4 linked regions of the Macaca fascicularis genome follow. The protein of the gene in region 4 interacts with the protein of the main gene of each other region in a biochemical or structural test. Links are inferred from orthologs where the notes say so. Each region holds a gene or a part of one and is shown on either strand. Other genes may lie near its edges.

The links.
Region 1: the proteins of AKT1 (region 4) and FOXO4 form a complex in vitro, tested with the Homo sapiens proteins (2 studies listed by BioGRID, with this or other methods). The link is inferred for Macaca fascicularis from reciprocal best matches to the Homo sapiens genes AKT1 and FOXO4.
Region 2: of the proteins of AKT1 (region 4) and FOXO1, one has a biochemical effect on the other in vitro, tested with the Homo sapiens proteins (4 studies listed by BioGRID). The link is inferred for Macaca fascicularis from reciprocal best matches to the Homo sapiens genes AKT1 and FOXO1.
Region 3: the proteins of AKT1 (region 4) and NF2 form a complex in vitro, tested with the Homo sapiens proteins (2 studies listed by BioGRID, with this or other methods). The link is inferred for Macaca fascicularis from reciprocal best matches to the Homo sapiens genes AKT1 and NF2.

The regions. Positions count from the first base shown.
Region 1 is NC_088395.1:77,796,391-77,800,551, reverse strand, and holds the start of FOXO4 (forkhead box protein O4), read right to left. Parts: upstream 2,801-4,161; 5' UTR 2,123-2,800; coding exon 1,670-2,122; intron 1-1,669. UniProt on the Homo sapiens protein: Transcription factor involved in the regulation of the insulin signaling pathway. Binds to insulin-response elements (IREs) and can activate transcription of IGFBP1.
Region 2 is NC_088391.1:20,066,354-20,070,403, forward strand, and holds the start of FOXO1 (forkhead box protein O1), read right to left. Parts: upstream 2,801-4,050; 5' UTR 2,368-2,800; coding exon 1,738-2,367; intron 1,501-1,737; exon of another isoform or gene 1-1,500. UniProt on the Homo sapiens protein: Transcription factor that is the main target of insulin signaling and regulates metabolic homeostasis in response to oxidative stress.
Region 3 is NC_088384.1:22,072,995-22,077,009, reverse strand, and holds the start of NF2 (merlin), read left to right. Parts: upstream 1-1,215; 5' UTR 1,216-1,598; coding exon 1,599-1,712; intron 1,713-4,015. UniProt on the Homo sapiens protein: Probable regulator of the Hippo/SWH (Sav/Wts/Hpo) signaling pathway, a signaling pathway that plays a pivotal role in tumor suppression by restricting proliferation and promoting apoptosis.
Region 4 is NC_088381.1:172,969,169-172,972,668, forward strand, and holds part of AKT1 (RAC-alpha serine/threonine-protein kinase), read right to left. Parts: intron 2,171-3,500; coding exon 2,059-2,170; intron 1,278-2,058; coding exon 1,130-1,277; intron 673-1,129; coding exon 541-672; intron 469-540; coding exon 403-468; intron 1-402. UniProt on the Homo sapiens protein: AKT1 is one of 3 closely related serine/threonine-protein kinases (AKT1, AKT2 and AKT3) called the AKT kinase, and which regulate many processes including metabolism, proliferation, cell survival, growth and angiogenesis.

The DNA.
Region 1 (4,161 bases), on a different chromosome or scaffold from region 4:
TTTCCCAAAAGCCCATAACTCTTACATGTTGGAGGGCAGGGTGGTAGGGGTGACTGCTAATTGCTCCCCAAACCACCTAATCTAAACTTTCTTGTTCTAAGTGAGTGCCGCCCCCTGGTGGGGTGGGAGTAACCTTGGCATATCATCAGGGAGGCCAGTTCAGGCATGAGACTTCCCTCAGAGGGGGGCGGGGGCCGGGGGCGGGGGCCGGGGGCGGGGGTGGGCCTTGAAGTCCCAGGCTCAGCCTGATTTGATTTTGCCATCATTCCAATTAGAGCAAGCCAGGCTCTTCTTAGAGAGTATGATTTATAGTTAGACCTGAGTTCAAGTCCTCACCCTGCTGTTATTAGGTGAGTTTCCTAACCTTTCGGTACGTAGTTTCCTAATGCGTAAAATGTGGAATCTCAGAATTGCTGTAAAGATTAATAAAATAAAAAATTTAAAAACTACTTTGTAAACTCTAAAGCCCCACATAAGTGTAGATTATAAGGACGGACGATACTCCCACAATATAACTAACAACTTGTTATTTCCTCTACACTGGAAAATGAACCTAAGGGAAAAGAAAAACAGCTGTGTAGGCTGGGTCCAAGGAGTTGAGCTTTTTATGAGCTGAGACTGTGGCGTGGCAGTCTACCCAGAAATAGTGCCAAGGGTCTCAGTCAGCTGTCCTGTCTTCTGTTCTGCCCAGCCCCTAGGGACGGCACAGATCTGATCCCTCAGTCTCCTATACCTAGGGGAAGTTCCTCTGCTCATCCAACCCTCTGTACTTGGTTATATGCTGACCTCACCACCTACAGAGGTACAAGCCAGCAATAGGGCTTGAAGCTCCCCAATTTTGTGATTAGAGCCCCATATTTCTCAGGACAAGTTTTTCAGAGTATCTTTTGAGATCTTCCCTCACAGTTTCTTCACGGAAGGCCAAGGGAACTCCCAACTTCATGCTCTAAAGTCAGAGCCCTACCTCCTCTTTATGACTAATATTCCTTAACAGTAAAGGATGACTTCCCCCCAAAACTTGGATAGCCCCTTACAAGGGAGAGTTTCTTGGCAGCACAGGGTAAACTGAGACAGGTGGCAGCTCACAGCCCTTTCTCTTCTTAGTGCATAAGATCAGCTACCTTTCCCCATGAATATTATTGTTTTCACCCTTTGCCACTGCACTCCCTCCTCCCAGGTAGAGCAGTGCTAGAACAGTACCACTACACTGAGGTATTGGGAGGCAAGCAGGGAATCCAAGTAATCCCACAGGAATGGGAGAAAAGGTGTTGGGGTGGGAGGTGGGGGAGGAGGGAAGGGTAGGTTCATGTGGAGAATCCACACAGTTCCTGCTGTACATAGGATAAAGACTTCTCTGTGGGAATAAGTGTTTGGGGCAGCCCAAGCCAAAGTGCTGCGAGTGTTGAGCAGTGAGCAGAGAATTCGATTTTCTCCAGGGCAGGGACAGTGTCTTATTCATCTGTGATCCTTCAGCATCAAGCACCGAGTGTGGCATATACTATGTACTAAGTAAATGTTTGTCTAACTGGAGATTGAAGGTGGATCTCTGGGCTTCCCAAAGGGGGTGGGGGTGGGAGGTAGTAAAAGGGGCCCCAGAGTAGAAGTAAGGGAGGCTAGGGAATCCAGGGGCTAGATGGTGTTGGGAAGAAGGTAAGAGGGTCATAATTACCTTCCATCCTGCTGAGCTGTTGCTGTCACCCTTGTCCTTGAAGTAGGGTACAGTACGGACCATCCACTCGTAGATCTGGGCAAGTGTCAGTCGCTTCTCCGGGGCGCTTTCAATGGCCTGGCTGATGAGTTCTGCATATGACTGATTTCCCCAGGCATTCCGGCGGGAGCCTCCCTTCCGAGGACCTGTTACAGCCCCCAGGATTCCGGGCTGGGGGCCCCCGGCCGGCTCTGGGAGCCGGGAGGGCAACAGGATCGGCTCTGAGCGCCCCTCCGTGTGTACCTTTTCCCCCAGACCTGGCTCCACCTCGGGCGTCTCGGACGGCTGGTTAGCGATCTCAGGTCGGGGAAGGGGCCAGGTGCAGGAGCGGGGACGGCTCTGGGGTTCGAAGTCGGGATCGAGGTCTATGACCGCGGCAGCCTCTGTGGCTGAATTCTCATTCCCCGGATCCATACGTGGAGTTGGACCTCCCCGGCTCAGCGTTCAGTGAAGCCTGCCACAGTCCCTCACGATGCCTCCCCTCAGGGGGGAAGCATCGAGGGCCAGGAGGCACATTCCTGCCAGTCCTCAGAAAGTCGCGAACTTCCCCCTAGTCCCAGGACGCTAGTCCCTAAGCTGTCCCTTCACACAGTTCTCCGATCCCCTTCGCGACTACAGCCTGCAGCCTCAGAGCTCTTTCCGAGATGCCACCTGTAACCTCTGCCGAGCGAAAACACTTTTTCTGCAACCTCTCACTTAGCTTCCTGCTCTTTTAAACCTGAGGCACGGTATCCCCTCATACATTGCGCTCCCATCACCGAACGTCTCCTTAGCCGCAGTTCCCTCCCCCTTTTAAGTTGCTGCCCCCCGGACACTCCTCCCAAATTTCCTCCACCCGGATTGCTGCCCTCCCCCACGCCCCGCTCCCCCGCGTCACTTGCCCCTCCCCTGACTCCCCCTTCCCCCGCCTCTTCCCTTCTCGCCACTCTTAATCGGGTCCGGGTCCCCGCGGCTGCGGCCTCCCTAATTCCCGCACCGATTCCCCTATCAACCCCCCCCACCCCCCGCCCCCCGGGTTTCCCTTTTGTTTTGCTCCAAGCAGCAGCCCCCTCCTGACGTCTCTGTTTACCACTCGCCGGGGCAGCCATCTGCGCACGCGCCTCGAAAGCCAGTCGGGAAACCGAGTTCTTCAGTCGTGCCACCCTGGTCACTCTTGAGGACTACATCTCCCGTCCTGCTTCGCGGCCAGGAGCCCGATACGGCGGCAGGAGAGCGGCGTGGCAGGATATAACGAGGTGGAACTTTAATTATTAGAAGTCGTCGTGGACTCTTTCTTTTCTTAAGAATCGTTTTTCGCCCTTTCCCCCTTTCCATCGTCTCCCTTGTGATTCGGAGTCGCCTAGGTGACCAGATTGAGAGGTGCTAGCCCTTTCCCTCCTTCATTTAGGAGAAGGCAAAAGGGAAAAAAATCTTCTCTTCAAGAAGCAGGAGGCCAAGAAGCAAGAAGCAAGGAACTGACTAGAACATAGGATGTATGCACGTTGGAGAGTTGGGTGGAGGGGCTTGTGTAACATAAACAAATGGTTAGCCCACGGTGGTGTTCCCCCTCACCCCCTTCCTCCTCCCTCCACCCGCCTTCATCCCCCCATATGCAGTTCCCACCTACAGTGAGGTCTTACTTACCAATCAGTTTCCTCCACTGGCTCTTCTGGCCTTCCCTTCAACACTGATATTCTCCAGGTTCACATCTCCAACGGCTTCACTTTCATTCAACAGGTCCCAAACTCATTATCTATTCCTGCACCCATACCCCTATCCTCTGGCTACCCTTATCTCTGAATTTGGCTTATGGTAGTCCTGATCTACCCAGTCTCCCAAGCTAGACTTACCCGTTACCTCTTCATCTCCGTAACTTTCTACATCCAAATCCCAGTTCAAGACCTATTTATAACTGCATTTAAATTGTAGGATCAGCTGGGTGCAGTGGCTTACGCCTGTAATACCAGCACTTTGGGAGGTCGAGGCAGGCGGATCACTTGAGGTCTGGAGTTCAAGACCAGCCTGGCCAACGTGGTGAAACCGATCTCTGCTAAAAATAGAAAAATTAGCCTGGTGTGGGGCATGCGCCTGTAGTCCCAGCTACTTAGGAGGCTGAGGTGGGAGAGTCGCCCAAGAGGTGGAGGTTACAGTGAGCCAAGATCATGCCACTGTGCTCCAGCCTGGGTGACAGAATAACACCCTGTCAAAAAAAAAAAAAAAAAAAAAAAAAGGTGCAGTATTGGATCTCCTTCCATCAGTCTTTTCCTCACTACAGTTTATATTCAGAGCTGCCAACAAGGTTACCGTTCTAAGAAACATGTCTGGTAATTATGGATAAAATTTATGGAGCCCTTATTATGTGCCAGTCTTTGTGCAAATTGCTTTACGAACATTAGTTCATTTACTCCTCATTTACTCCTCAATTCAACCCCATGAAGTAGGTACAACTATTATCCCCATTTTATAGATGCAGA
Region 2 (4,050 bases), on a different chromosome or scaffold from region 4:
ACAGGGATGACACTGTATGTAAAATAACCTTGGTGTTAACAACTGCGCAGCTAAGACCAATCTTTTATTATGCTGTGGAGTCAATATGAGAGGCAAGGAAAGGTTTGTTTAAAAAGATGTTTAGCTCGGCCGGGCGCAGGGGCTCACGCCTGTAATCCCAGCACTTTGGGAGGCCGAGGCGGGCGGATCACGAGGTCAGGAGATCCAGAACATCCTGGCCAACACGGTGAAACTCCGTCTCTACTAAAAACACCAAAATTAGCTGGGCGTGGTGGCTCTTGCCTGTAATCCCAGCTAGTCGGGAGGCTGAGGCAGGAGAATCGCTTCAACCAGAGAGTCGGAAGTTGCAATGAACCGAGATCGCGCCACGGTACTCCAGCCTGGCGACAGAACGAGACTCCGTCTCAGAGCGGGGATGAAAAAAAAAAAAAAAAAAGGTGTTTAGCTCAACTAGACAGCCTTTACAGCAATTCCGCCACCGGTGACAGTGAGAAACTGTCAGCTTGGGGAGGCCGCGCGGCGACTGGACCCCGCCCCCGGGAAGCCTCCCCGGGGCCGAGGCCACCCCCCCGCCCCGGGCCTTCTCCTCGGAGTCGGGAAATACCTGCCCCCACGCTAAGTCTCTACTGGCCACTCTCTATAAGGCAAAAATGGCAAAAATCCTCCTTTGAGGCATCGCTCCCTCGACGCCCATCGCCACTCCGACTCCCTCAAAAAATTGGTCGCAAAGCCCCCCGCCTGGTCCCTCATCTGGACCTCCATTCTCAAGAACAGGGTGGCAAGGCAGGAAAAGACGCACACTTCCCAGCCCCCGGCCCCCCAGGGCAGCCTCTGTGTTTCTCAATAAAAGCCTCCTACCAGGGGCAAGACCAAGTTCGGGCGCTTCCCCTCGTGGAGAAACGCTGGCCCCACGGCTCCCGGCCCGGACGCGCTGGCCCTTTAAAGGCGCGGGCTTCCTGCGCCCGGGGCCCCTCCCACGCCATCGCCACCGCCCGCGCCCGCCCCCGCCGAGGGTCACACTTGAACTTTAGCTCGCCCAGCGCAGCCAGGCGCCGGCGCTCCGCAGGCGGTGGCCGCCCCTTCGCACGTGTCGGAGGCACCACCTCGGGCTCGGGACGCCCGGCCCCCGGCACTCGAGGCCACTCCAGAGAAAACCAAAACAAAGCAAAATGCGCACCGCCTCCAGAAACTGCCCGGCTGGCCCTGCACCGTCCACGGCCGGTCGCGCCCTGCCTGTCCCCTCCACCTGCAGCCCGGTCCCGGGACAGGGAGAGTCCGGGGCCCCTCGCCGCGCCCTCCCCCGCCGCGCCCGGCGGAAACAGCTCCGCAGCGCGGCCGGAGAGGACCTGCCCTCCCCCCGCGGAGGTCCGGGAGGGAAGGGGCAGTCGAAGCAGTCAGCGCGGGCCGGGGGAGTGCCCCTCCCAGCGAACCCGTTTCTCCTTTCACTGGCAAACTTTTCGGCCGCTGATATCCACTTCTTGGCGCACTTTCTTTACTTAGTTCCTCGACGAGCCCCTTTTCGCGTCCCACGCGAACTCTTGACTGGCGCGCGCGCACACCTACTGCCGTCCCCGACCGGACCTGGGCGAGGTCACCGCGACCACCGCTTCTCGCCCGCCCTCCTGGGAACGCGCTGCCCTCCTGGCCCGCACCTTCAGGCCGAGCAAACCTGCACAGCTGCGCCCTCGCCTGACCCACCGCGCCCCCAAGGTCCGGCCGCGCGCCGAGACCGCTCACCTTCCAGCCCGCCGAGCTGTTGCTGTCACCCTTATCCTTGAAGTAGGGCACGCTCTTGACCATCCACTCGTAGATCTGCGACAGCGTCAGCCGCTTCTCCGCCGAGCTCTCGATGGCCTTGGTGATGAGGTCAGCGTAGGACAGGTTGCCCCACGCGTTGCGGCGGGACGAGCTGCTCTTGCGCGGCTGCCCCGCGAGAGGCCCAGCGCCAGCGGGGGGCACTGGCGGGTGCTGCGACAGCGGCCCGGGCGGCGGGGGCTGCGGCGGCGCTGGGTGCAGGCAGCCCGCCTCCGGGCCTTGGAAGTCCCCGCACAGTCCCCCGGTGGCGGCCGCGGCGGCCGCCGCCGCCACCGCCGCCGCCACGGAGCCGGGTGCTTGCGGAAAGTCCTCGCTCTCCTCCAGCAAGCTCAGGTTGCTCATGAAGTCGGCGCTGACAGCGGCAGCCGAGGCCGAGGGCAGGCCCGCCGCGGCGTCGGGGTTGGCAGCCGCGCCGCCCGACGGCGCCGGGCTGGAGGTGGCCGAGTTGGACTGGCTAAACTCCGGCCTGGGCAGCGGCCAGGTGCACGAGCGCGGCCGGGGCAGCGGCTCGAAGTCCGGGTCGATCTCCACCACCTGAGGCGCTTCGGCCATGGTGACCCCCGCCCCTCCCCCAGCCGCGGGAGAGCCAAGAAGGGGAGAACGCAGCACGGGGGCCGGAGGGGGAGGGGGCGCGAAGAGACGGTCCGAGATTTGGGGGAACGAAGCCGGTGCGGCGAGCGGACGGAAACTGGGAGGAAAGCGCGGCGGAGTGCAAGCGCGAGCCCAGAACTTAACTTCGCCGGGCCATCCACATCGAGGCTCCTCAGGGTCCGCCGCACGGACTGGACGGCTGGCCAGAGCCGCCGGGCCGGGGCAGAGCCTGCGCCGCGCTCCAGCTGACAGGGCCGCGGACGGAAGGACAGACGGATGCCGCGGGCCGCTCGCTCTCCCCGGCTGCGCGCCCGCTGCGCTGCTGCCTGTTGAATGTGGCGGCGGCAGCAGCGGCTGCTGCGACTACTAGGCCGCCCGACTTACGGGATCTGCCGCCGCTCCCCGCCCGCGCCGGCGCGCGCGCCGGCCCGCCCCTGACCGACAGCCCGCGCGGCCAATGGGCATGCGGCACCGCCGCCTGGGCAGCCAGTGGGCGCCGGGCTGGGCGGGGCCCGGTTTTCCACGGGGAGGCGGCGGTGGGCTGGTGGGGGGTAGTAGGGTGTTTTTCTCTTTCACACACTCATCTCCTTTTTTTTTTTTTTTTTTGGATCTCTATTATTTTCTGGTAATTCTCGAGTGTTTCTGTGATTCTCTCGCCTTCTCAGTGTTTTGATTGCTAGGAAGCAAAGCAGCGTGGAGGCGGCGGCGACACTTTGTTTACTACGGAGGAGCAGAGCCGAGTACTCTGGAAGCCCGGGTGGGAGGAGGCGCTCGCTGCGCCTTGACCTCTGCTGCGGGCCCAGCCCGGCGGGCGGACAGGGCAGGGGGCCGGGGACCCGGGGCGCGGGGTGGGTGGGTGGAGGCGGCCGCGCGGAATTCTACTCAATCGTTCCCTCCTGGCTCCACCCACGATGTCTTTGCTAAACGACGTGGGGAATCGGTGGATTTTGTTTTGGTTTAGTGTTTTCTTTCGCTGCGATCTGTCAAGTCCTCCGGCCCGCTCACGGGCTGCACACGACCACCGCCCCTGGCGCCGCGGGTCCTGCAGTCGAGTCCGCGCTGAGAGACCCTTCTCCGCGCCCGGTGCCCACCTGTCCGCACCCCCAGGCTCAACCTGTGCCATTCGGTCTAGCCAGAGGCGCGTCACCCAGCCGGGCAGCCCCCAACCGGATTCACTGTATTCTTGATCTTTTTTAAAAGGCTAGAAATGAGGAACAGGGGCCCCGGCGCGAGGAGGAGATTCTCCCGCCTCCCCGCACACACGGATCCAAAGGCACCCGCGACCGCATGCCCTCCGTGGGAACCTCTTCCCCTGGGCGGGAATCTCCCGCTTCGTCCACTGAGTCCAGGGCCGGCAGCGAAGGGCTCAGGAGCGCAGTTAGCGAGAACCAGGTCACTTTATTACTTACCCCTAATTAAATTTAACTGTTTGTTATTTCTTTTTTATTTACAACGGAAGTGATCGGGTGTTAAGTTAAAACGCAAGGGCGGGGGATAGGACCAAAGCCTTGGGGCGCAGCCTGCCCCATCCCCAAGTTCCTTGAGGCTACTTGCTGTGTGCGTCAACCAACCCCCCACCCACACCCCACCTTTCCTCGTCTGAGCTGCAGGTCCAGGACATCCTGTCGAGGATCAGTGGGGCCA
Region 3 (4,015 bases), on a different chromosome or scaffold from region 4:
CTACTAAGAGCTATTTTAAAATAGAATTTATCTAGGTACAGTAAGGTATAATTATCCCCCTACACCCGTTATAACCCTTGATGACACTAAATAAATAATACACGAATATGGTTCAAAAATGGGCATCGTAGAGTATAAAATGAAGAATGCTTTCATTTTCCACCCAAATTCAGCAATTTCATAGGATGCCAGGCTCCATTCTAAAGCCTTGTATGTATTCAGTGCGCTGAAATTCAACAACCTCACGAGGTAGGTATAACCATTAATATTAATTCTAGGCGGGGCGTGGTGGCTCACGCCTGTAATCCCAGCACTTCGGGAGGCCGAGGCGGGCGGATCACCTGAGGTGGGTAGTTCGAGACCAACCTGACGAACATGGAGAAACCCCGTCTCTACTAAAAATACAAAATTAGCCGGGCGTGGTGGCGCATGCCTGTTATCCCAGCTACTCGGGAGGCTGGCGCAGGAAAACCCGGGAGGCGGAGGTTGCAGTGAGCCGAGATCGCGCCATTGCACTCCAGCCTGGGCAACAACAACGAAACTCCGTCCCCCACCACTCCCCCCCAAAACATAATGATTCTAAAGGGAAGCAGAGGGATCTGGCGGAAAAGTGCCAGCAAATCTAACAGGCCTCCACAAGAGTCTTGAAAGTTTGAGAAGCTTAGGGGTCGCTATATGTGATTAACTGTCAAACAAGAATATTCGCCGGGTGTCCGAAACGCGATCCCCTGGGGCGCCACACTCGGAGCCTACTTGAACCCAAAGAGTCCCTCCCTGGGCCAACGAGGGACCCAATTCCCGCGCCCGGCATCCAGCCTCTACGTGGTTTCCTAGGAAAGGATAGCGGAGGTCCGCCGCCTCAACCAGTCTTGTTAGAGTGGCACAAAAGCGTTCGGAGTGACTGCCACTGTAGCCACTCAACGCCGAGCCCAGGCCTGCTTTTTTTGCGGTTAGAGTGAAACTTTCCATTGGTGGAGTCACCCCGAAGGAGGCGGGACGGAGGGGGAAAGTCCTGCCTACCTTGGTCTTCCCAGCCAATCGCAGCATCCAGGTCGCAGAACCCAGGCGGTAGCCTCCGGTTCGGTTGCGCTGTGCGTAGTGGTCTGGGAGACCTGAGGGCGGGGCCGGGAGCAGGCCCCGGACTGCGGGGAGGGTACGCTTCCCGCGGGCGCGCGGAGTGAGGACGGTGACAGCCACGCGCGCGCATACGCGCCCGACTGCAGCGCGGCCCCGCGACCCTAGTCGGCAGCTGAGAGGCGCGCAGAATCTGGGCCGCTGCCGTCTAGGGTTCCCGTCCCGAGGCGTCCCCGGCATCTCCGGCCTGAATCCCGGAGTGCCAGGTCGCGCCTGCACCGACGGTCCCGACTCCCGTGCCCTCCCAGGAGCCGTCAGGGCCCGCCCCTCAACTCCCCTTTCCGCCCGGGCAGGGTCCTCGCGGCCCATGCTGGCCGCTGGGGACCCGCGCAGCCCAGACCGTTCCCGGGCCGGCCAGCCGGCCACCATGGTGGCCCTGAGGCCTGTGCAGCAACTCCAGGGGGGCTAAAGGGCTCAGAGTGCAGGCCTTGGGGCGCGAGGGTCCCAGGCCTGAGCCCCGAGCCATGGCTGGGGCCATCGCTTCCCGCATGAGCTTCAGCTCTCTCAAGAGGAAGCAACCCAAGACGTTCACCGTGCGGATCGTCACCATGGACGCCGAGATGGAGTTCAATTGCGAGGTAACCGGCCGGCAGCCCCGACTGCTGCGGTGACAGTCGAGGTGGAAACTCGAGAGGTTCTCTTTATATCATCTTAATGGGTGTAGCTAGAGACGGGCAGAACCGGAAGGGGCCAACTAGGCCCAAAACCTCATGTTAAAGATGATTGCTGCTTTTTTTCATAGGGCTTTTGGGTTTTAGCATTTCCTGAAGGTTATTTTCATTCATTGTTATTGGAAGAAGCTGGATGCTCCTGTGATAGAAAATTCCGGATTTCAGTGTCAGGCTTAAGTTAGGCTTACGCTTAAACGCTTGAAAGTTCTTTCATTAGGTAATATTGTTATGTACCCAGGTATTAGAAGTTGCGTCTTGTTTATTGGAAAGCCAATACTTGTTTTCCTTTTCTAAAGCCTACATATTCTGGAAAAAAACCCTTTGAAGAACGATATAATATCTCATACTTACTTTCCACATAGTTTCCAACATGATGATTAACAGCTATCAATTGTTCAGTATTTTCAAAGTGCCAGACATTTGCACATTTAATCCTCAGAACAAACCCATTTATCTAGTAAATGGCAAGGTGGGGTTTTGAACTAAGCTCACAGCCAGTACAGTACTGCTTCTCAAGTAATTTAAGTTCTTGCTACTAAAGGTGTGGTTTGTGGACCAGCAGCATTGGCAGCAGTAACCAAGGGTTGGCAAGCTTTTTCTGTACAGGACCACATAGTAAATATTTTCAACTTTGTAGACTAGAGAATCTCTGTTGGAGCTATTCAGCTCTTCAGCTCTGTCATTGTAACACAAAAGCAGCCTTAGATAAGATCAGCTTCCAGCTTGACAGCTTAAGGAACCCATTCCTCTGTAAAACTGGTGAAAATTCTTTTTTGTTTTGTTTCATTTTGAGACAGAGTCTCACTCTGCCACCCAGGCTGGCATGCAGTAGTGTGATCATGGCTCACTGCAACCCCCACCGACCTCTGTGGCTCAATCAGTCCTCCTGCCTTGGCCTCCTGAGTAACTGGGACCACAGGTGTGTGCACCACACCTGGCTAATTTTTTTTTTTTTTTGAGACGTCTCGCTCTGTCACCCAGAGTGCACCGGGCTGGAGTGCAATGGCGCGATCTCGGCTCACTGCCAACTCCACCTCCCAGGTTCAAGCAGTTCTCTTGCTTCAGCCTTCCAGGTAGCTGGGATTACAGGCATGTGCCATCACGTCTGGCTAATTTTTCTATTTTTAGTAGAGACAGGGTTTCAACATATTGGGCAGGCTGATCTCGAACTCCTGACCTCATGACCAGCCCACCTGGGCCTCCCAAAGTGGTGGGAAAGTGGTGCTATTACAGGTGTGAGCCACCGCGCCCAGCCTCACCTAGCTAATTTTTGTAGAGACAAGGATTTTGCCATGTTGCCTAGGCTGATCTTGAACTCCTGACCTAAAGCAATCCGCTGGCCTTGGACTCCCAAAGTGATGGGATTACAGACGGAGCCACCATGTCTGGCCCAAAAATTCTTTTTTTAAAATCAACTATTTAAACCCTCCGGCAATGGTCCTGAGGGCAAACAACAAATGAAACACCTATTCAAGAAAATCTACAAATTCGGTAAGAAAGATGAGAGGATATGGTATTTGAACCAAGATCATTCCCTCCTTACCCACTCCTAGCTTAGTGAGGTAGAGCTTCTACTCCAGACTATTGCAAACTGAAACACGGGGCACCGCTCCCTCAGCTCCCAAATCAAATGCTTTCTTCCCAGGAAAAGCTGGACATCAGCATTTCTTATCATACCCAGAGCTACTTGTTGCTGAGGTTAAAACCTGTGTGAGTGCAATTGAAAGTTGGAGCTCCCTTTTTTTTTTCTTTTGAGACGGAGTTTTGCTCTTGTTGCCCAGGCTGGAGCGCAATGGTACGATCTCGCCTCACCGCAACCTCCGCCTCCCAGGTTCAAGCGATTCTCCCACCTTAGCCTCCCGAGTAGCTGGGATTGTAGGCTTGCCCCACCACGTCTGGCTGATTTTGTGTTTTTAGTAGAGATGGGTTTCTCCATGTTGGTCAGGCTGGTCTTGAACTCCTGACCTCAGGTGATCTGCCTGCCTCGGCCTCCCAAAGTGTTGGGATTACAGGCGTGAGCCACCGTGCTTGGCTAAAGTTGGAGCTCCCTTCTTCCACCTAGTCCCTACTTGTGGAACAGGATTGTACCTTGGGCATGGCATACTGAAACTACTGGCGCCCCAATTGCTCATCCACCAGTTCTAGCAGGCTGAGCCTCAGGTTGTTGCGGTCCCCTGCCTCCTTCCACCAAGTGCTCAGTTTCTAGAGTG
Region 4 (3,500 bases):
ACTAACCACGTGGCTGGAGTCTGGCCCCCTTCACAGTAAATACCTCCTGGGTCGAGTCCCCACAACGGGCTCCCCAGGACAGAGCCCGGGCCTCAACAGAAGCCTGGCAGGCAGGGCTGCAGGGCATGGGGAGCTGGGGCCTCCCGGAGCCTCGGCAGAGTGCAAAGACGACCAGGGCCACCTGCCCCACCTGCCTGCACACAGGAGCGGCGAGCACAGCCCCCAGCCCACATCGGGCACCTCCACAGCCTGACCCTCCGGGGCAGGCCTGTCACCAGCGGCAGAATCCGCAGTGCGTAAAGTCCTCACGTGCCCAAGAAGACAGGACATCGTTCCCTAGAGACAGCCCCAGGAGTCGCCACCTGACCCCAGCCCTTCAGCCCCATCTGGGCTCCCACTCACCGTGAGGAAGGGGTGCCTGGAGTTCTGCAGAACACGGTTCTCGGTGAGTGTGTGGGCCACCTCGTCCTGTAAGGCAGGGCTGGGTGAGCTGCCGCCCAGCATCCTCGTCTCCACCCTGCCCCACCACCCCGGCCCCACCTTGGCCACGATGACCTCCTTCTTGAGGATCTTCATGGCATAGTAGCGGCCCGTTGCCTTCTCCTTCACCAGGATCACCTTCCCGAAAGTGCCCTTGCCCAGCAGCTTCAGGTACTCAAACTCGTTCATGGTCTGTGGGCAGGCACCAGGGTCAGCGGGGGGCGCTGCCCACAGTGCCCAGCTGGTCGGCATGTGTCAGGTGGCATGGGGGCCCCAGAGTCACCCTTGGCAGACTTGGAGGCGGAGCCAGGAGAGGCGACCGCTTCACACCTGGTGGCCTGCGGGGCTCAGCGGGGAGTCCGGACTTACAGGGAACACACGGTGCAGCCCTAGCTCAGAGCGTGGGGTTCGGGGAAGGGTGGGGTAACACTGCCCAAGCCTGGCAGGGCTCAGCAGCCCCACTATTTCTCTGACATAGGGAAGAGGACCCACCTGGGAAGCAGCTGCGCCCCACATGGAAAACCGGCCTAGATGGGGATGCTGTGGAGTGCTGAGTGTCTCCTGGGCCAAGCTGGGACCCCATGACCCACCCAGCTCTCCACAGCCCAAGGTAGCCCCAGGCATAGGCAGAAAGGGGGACAGGCCTTACCACACGGTGCTTGGGTTTGGCCAGGGACACCTCCATCTCTTCAGCCCCTGAGTTGTCGCTGGGTGAGCCCGACCGGAAGTCCATCATCTCCTCCTCGTGCTTCTTGAGGCCATCGGCCACTGTCTGGATGGCGGTTGTCCACTCCTCCCTGCAGGAGGTCAGGTGAGGCTGTAGCCCTGCACCTCACCCCATGAGGTCAGGAGCTCCACCCCACAGCTTACACCCACCCTCCAGCCTCACAAGCGGGGTCCCCAGAGACAGCCCTGAGGAGGCCACCCCTTGACCTGGGCTGGCCACACACACTCAGGGTCAGAAAGCCCTTCTGGACCTGAGGGACACGCAGGCTTAGCCCCCAAGTAGGGTTCAAGCCCCCAGCAGGGCTCTGTCCCCACAGGCAAACTCCAACCCCCAGCAGGACCCAGGCCCACAGCAGGACTCCGCCCCCCAGGCTTGCTCTATCACCCAGGCTGGAGTGCACTGGTACAATCTCGGCTCACTGCGGCCTCCGCCTCTTGGGTTCAAGCAATTCTTGTGCCTCAGCCTCCCAAGTAGCTGGGATCACAGGTGTGCACCACCACACCCAGCTAAGTTTTATATTTTTAGTAGAGGCGGGGGTTTCACCATGTTGGCCAGGCCGGTCTTGAACTCCTGGTCTCAAGTGATCTGCCCATCTCAGCCTCCCAAAATGCCAAGATTATAGATGTCAGCCACTGTGCCCGGTCCCTAGACAGTTTTTATCTCCAGCCTCAGTTTCCCCACCCAACCCCACAGGACTGGGCCAGTTTCCAAACCGGGCTCTGGGGAGGGCCTGGGATCACTGGGGAGTAAGGATGGCTATAGGCAGAGGCGCCCAGCACCCGCCATCCCCATGTCCCTCCTAAGCGCTAGGGCTGCCCAAGTGCCCGGCCTGGCCGCCGCAGCCCACGTACCGCTCCTCGGGAGTCTCCACGTGGAAGGTGCGTTCGATGACAGTGGTCCACTGCAGGCAGCGGATGATGAAGGTGTTGGGCCGGGGCCGCTCCGTCTTCATCAGCTGGCACTCTGTGGGCAAGCAGAGCCTCTGTCTGCATGCATCCCCCTGCCCCTCCCAGGGCCCTCACCACAGTCCCCACCGCACCAGCCAGCTCCCCTTGCATACCACCCACAAGTCCTAGGAAGCCCCACCTCCTCCTCTCTCCAAGCCTCAGTTTCTCGCCTCATAGAGTGGGGCTAGGACCCCCATTCCAGCTCAGACACTCTATTCCAGGTTGAGGCAGCCCCAAAGGGCATCTGGCCCAAGGTCAGGTCAACCCCCCCGCATCGTCCCCTCCTACAGTCCCCTTCCTTCAGTCACTGAGCCCCACCGTGCACCAGGTCTCAGAGGATGAGGGATATGGAGATCCCACAGAGGGGCTGGCATGAGGGGGCCACCCCAGAAAGCAGCTTGTCCCACCTAGTGTAGAAATGTCCTGCTATTTTCCCAATCTCACCCTGAGTACCTGGGAAATACACCTGGGGGCACACGCACACCTGGGGGCACAGCCACACCTGGTGCACAGCCACACCTGGGGCACACCACACCCGGGGCACACCACACCTGGTGCACAGTCACACCCGGGGCACAGCCACACCTGGGGCACAGCCACACCTGGGGCACACCATACCTGGTGCACACCCACACCTGGTGCACACCCAAACCTGGTGCACACCCACACCCAGGGCACACCCACATCTGGGGCACACCCACACCTGGAGCACACCCACACCCGGGGCACACACATATGTGGGGCACAGCCACACCCAGAACAGTCACACCCAGGGCACACCCACATCTGGGGCACAGTCACACCCGGGGCACACCCACATGTGGGGCACAGCCACACTCGGAACACAGCCACACCTGGGGCACACAGTCACACCAGGGGTACACCCACACCTGGAACACACCCACACCCGGGGCACACCCACACTCGGGGCACAGCCACATCTGGGGCACACACACACCTGGGGCACAGCCACATCTGGTGCACAGCCACACCTGGGGCACACACACACCTGGAGCGCACACACACCTGGGGAACACATACGTGGGGCACAGCCATTCCTACTGCACATACACCCTGAGGGCTGTGGGAACGTGCGGGGCCCTGAGAGGTGTGAGTGAGTGCAGTGTGTAGCCGCTGGGGCTCCTTGGCAGGCTCTGGCCCAGCCTGTGCAAAGCAGGAGGGGGCTGAGGGGCCAGTAGGGGGCCTCTGACATTCCAGCATCGAGGCCCTGGCAACCACAAGGGGGCCTGGCCAGGCAGCGAGGGAGCTGTCTTCCAGGCCTGGGGGCCAGGAGGGGGCTCGGGACCAGCCTGGTGGGGAGGGTGGCCTGTGTCAACACAGGCCAG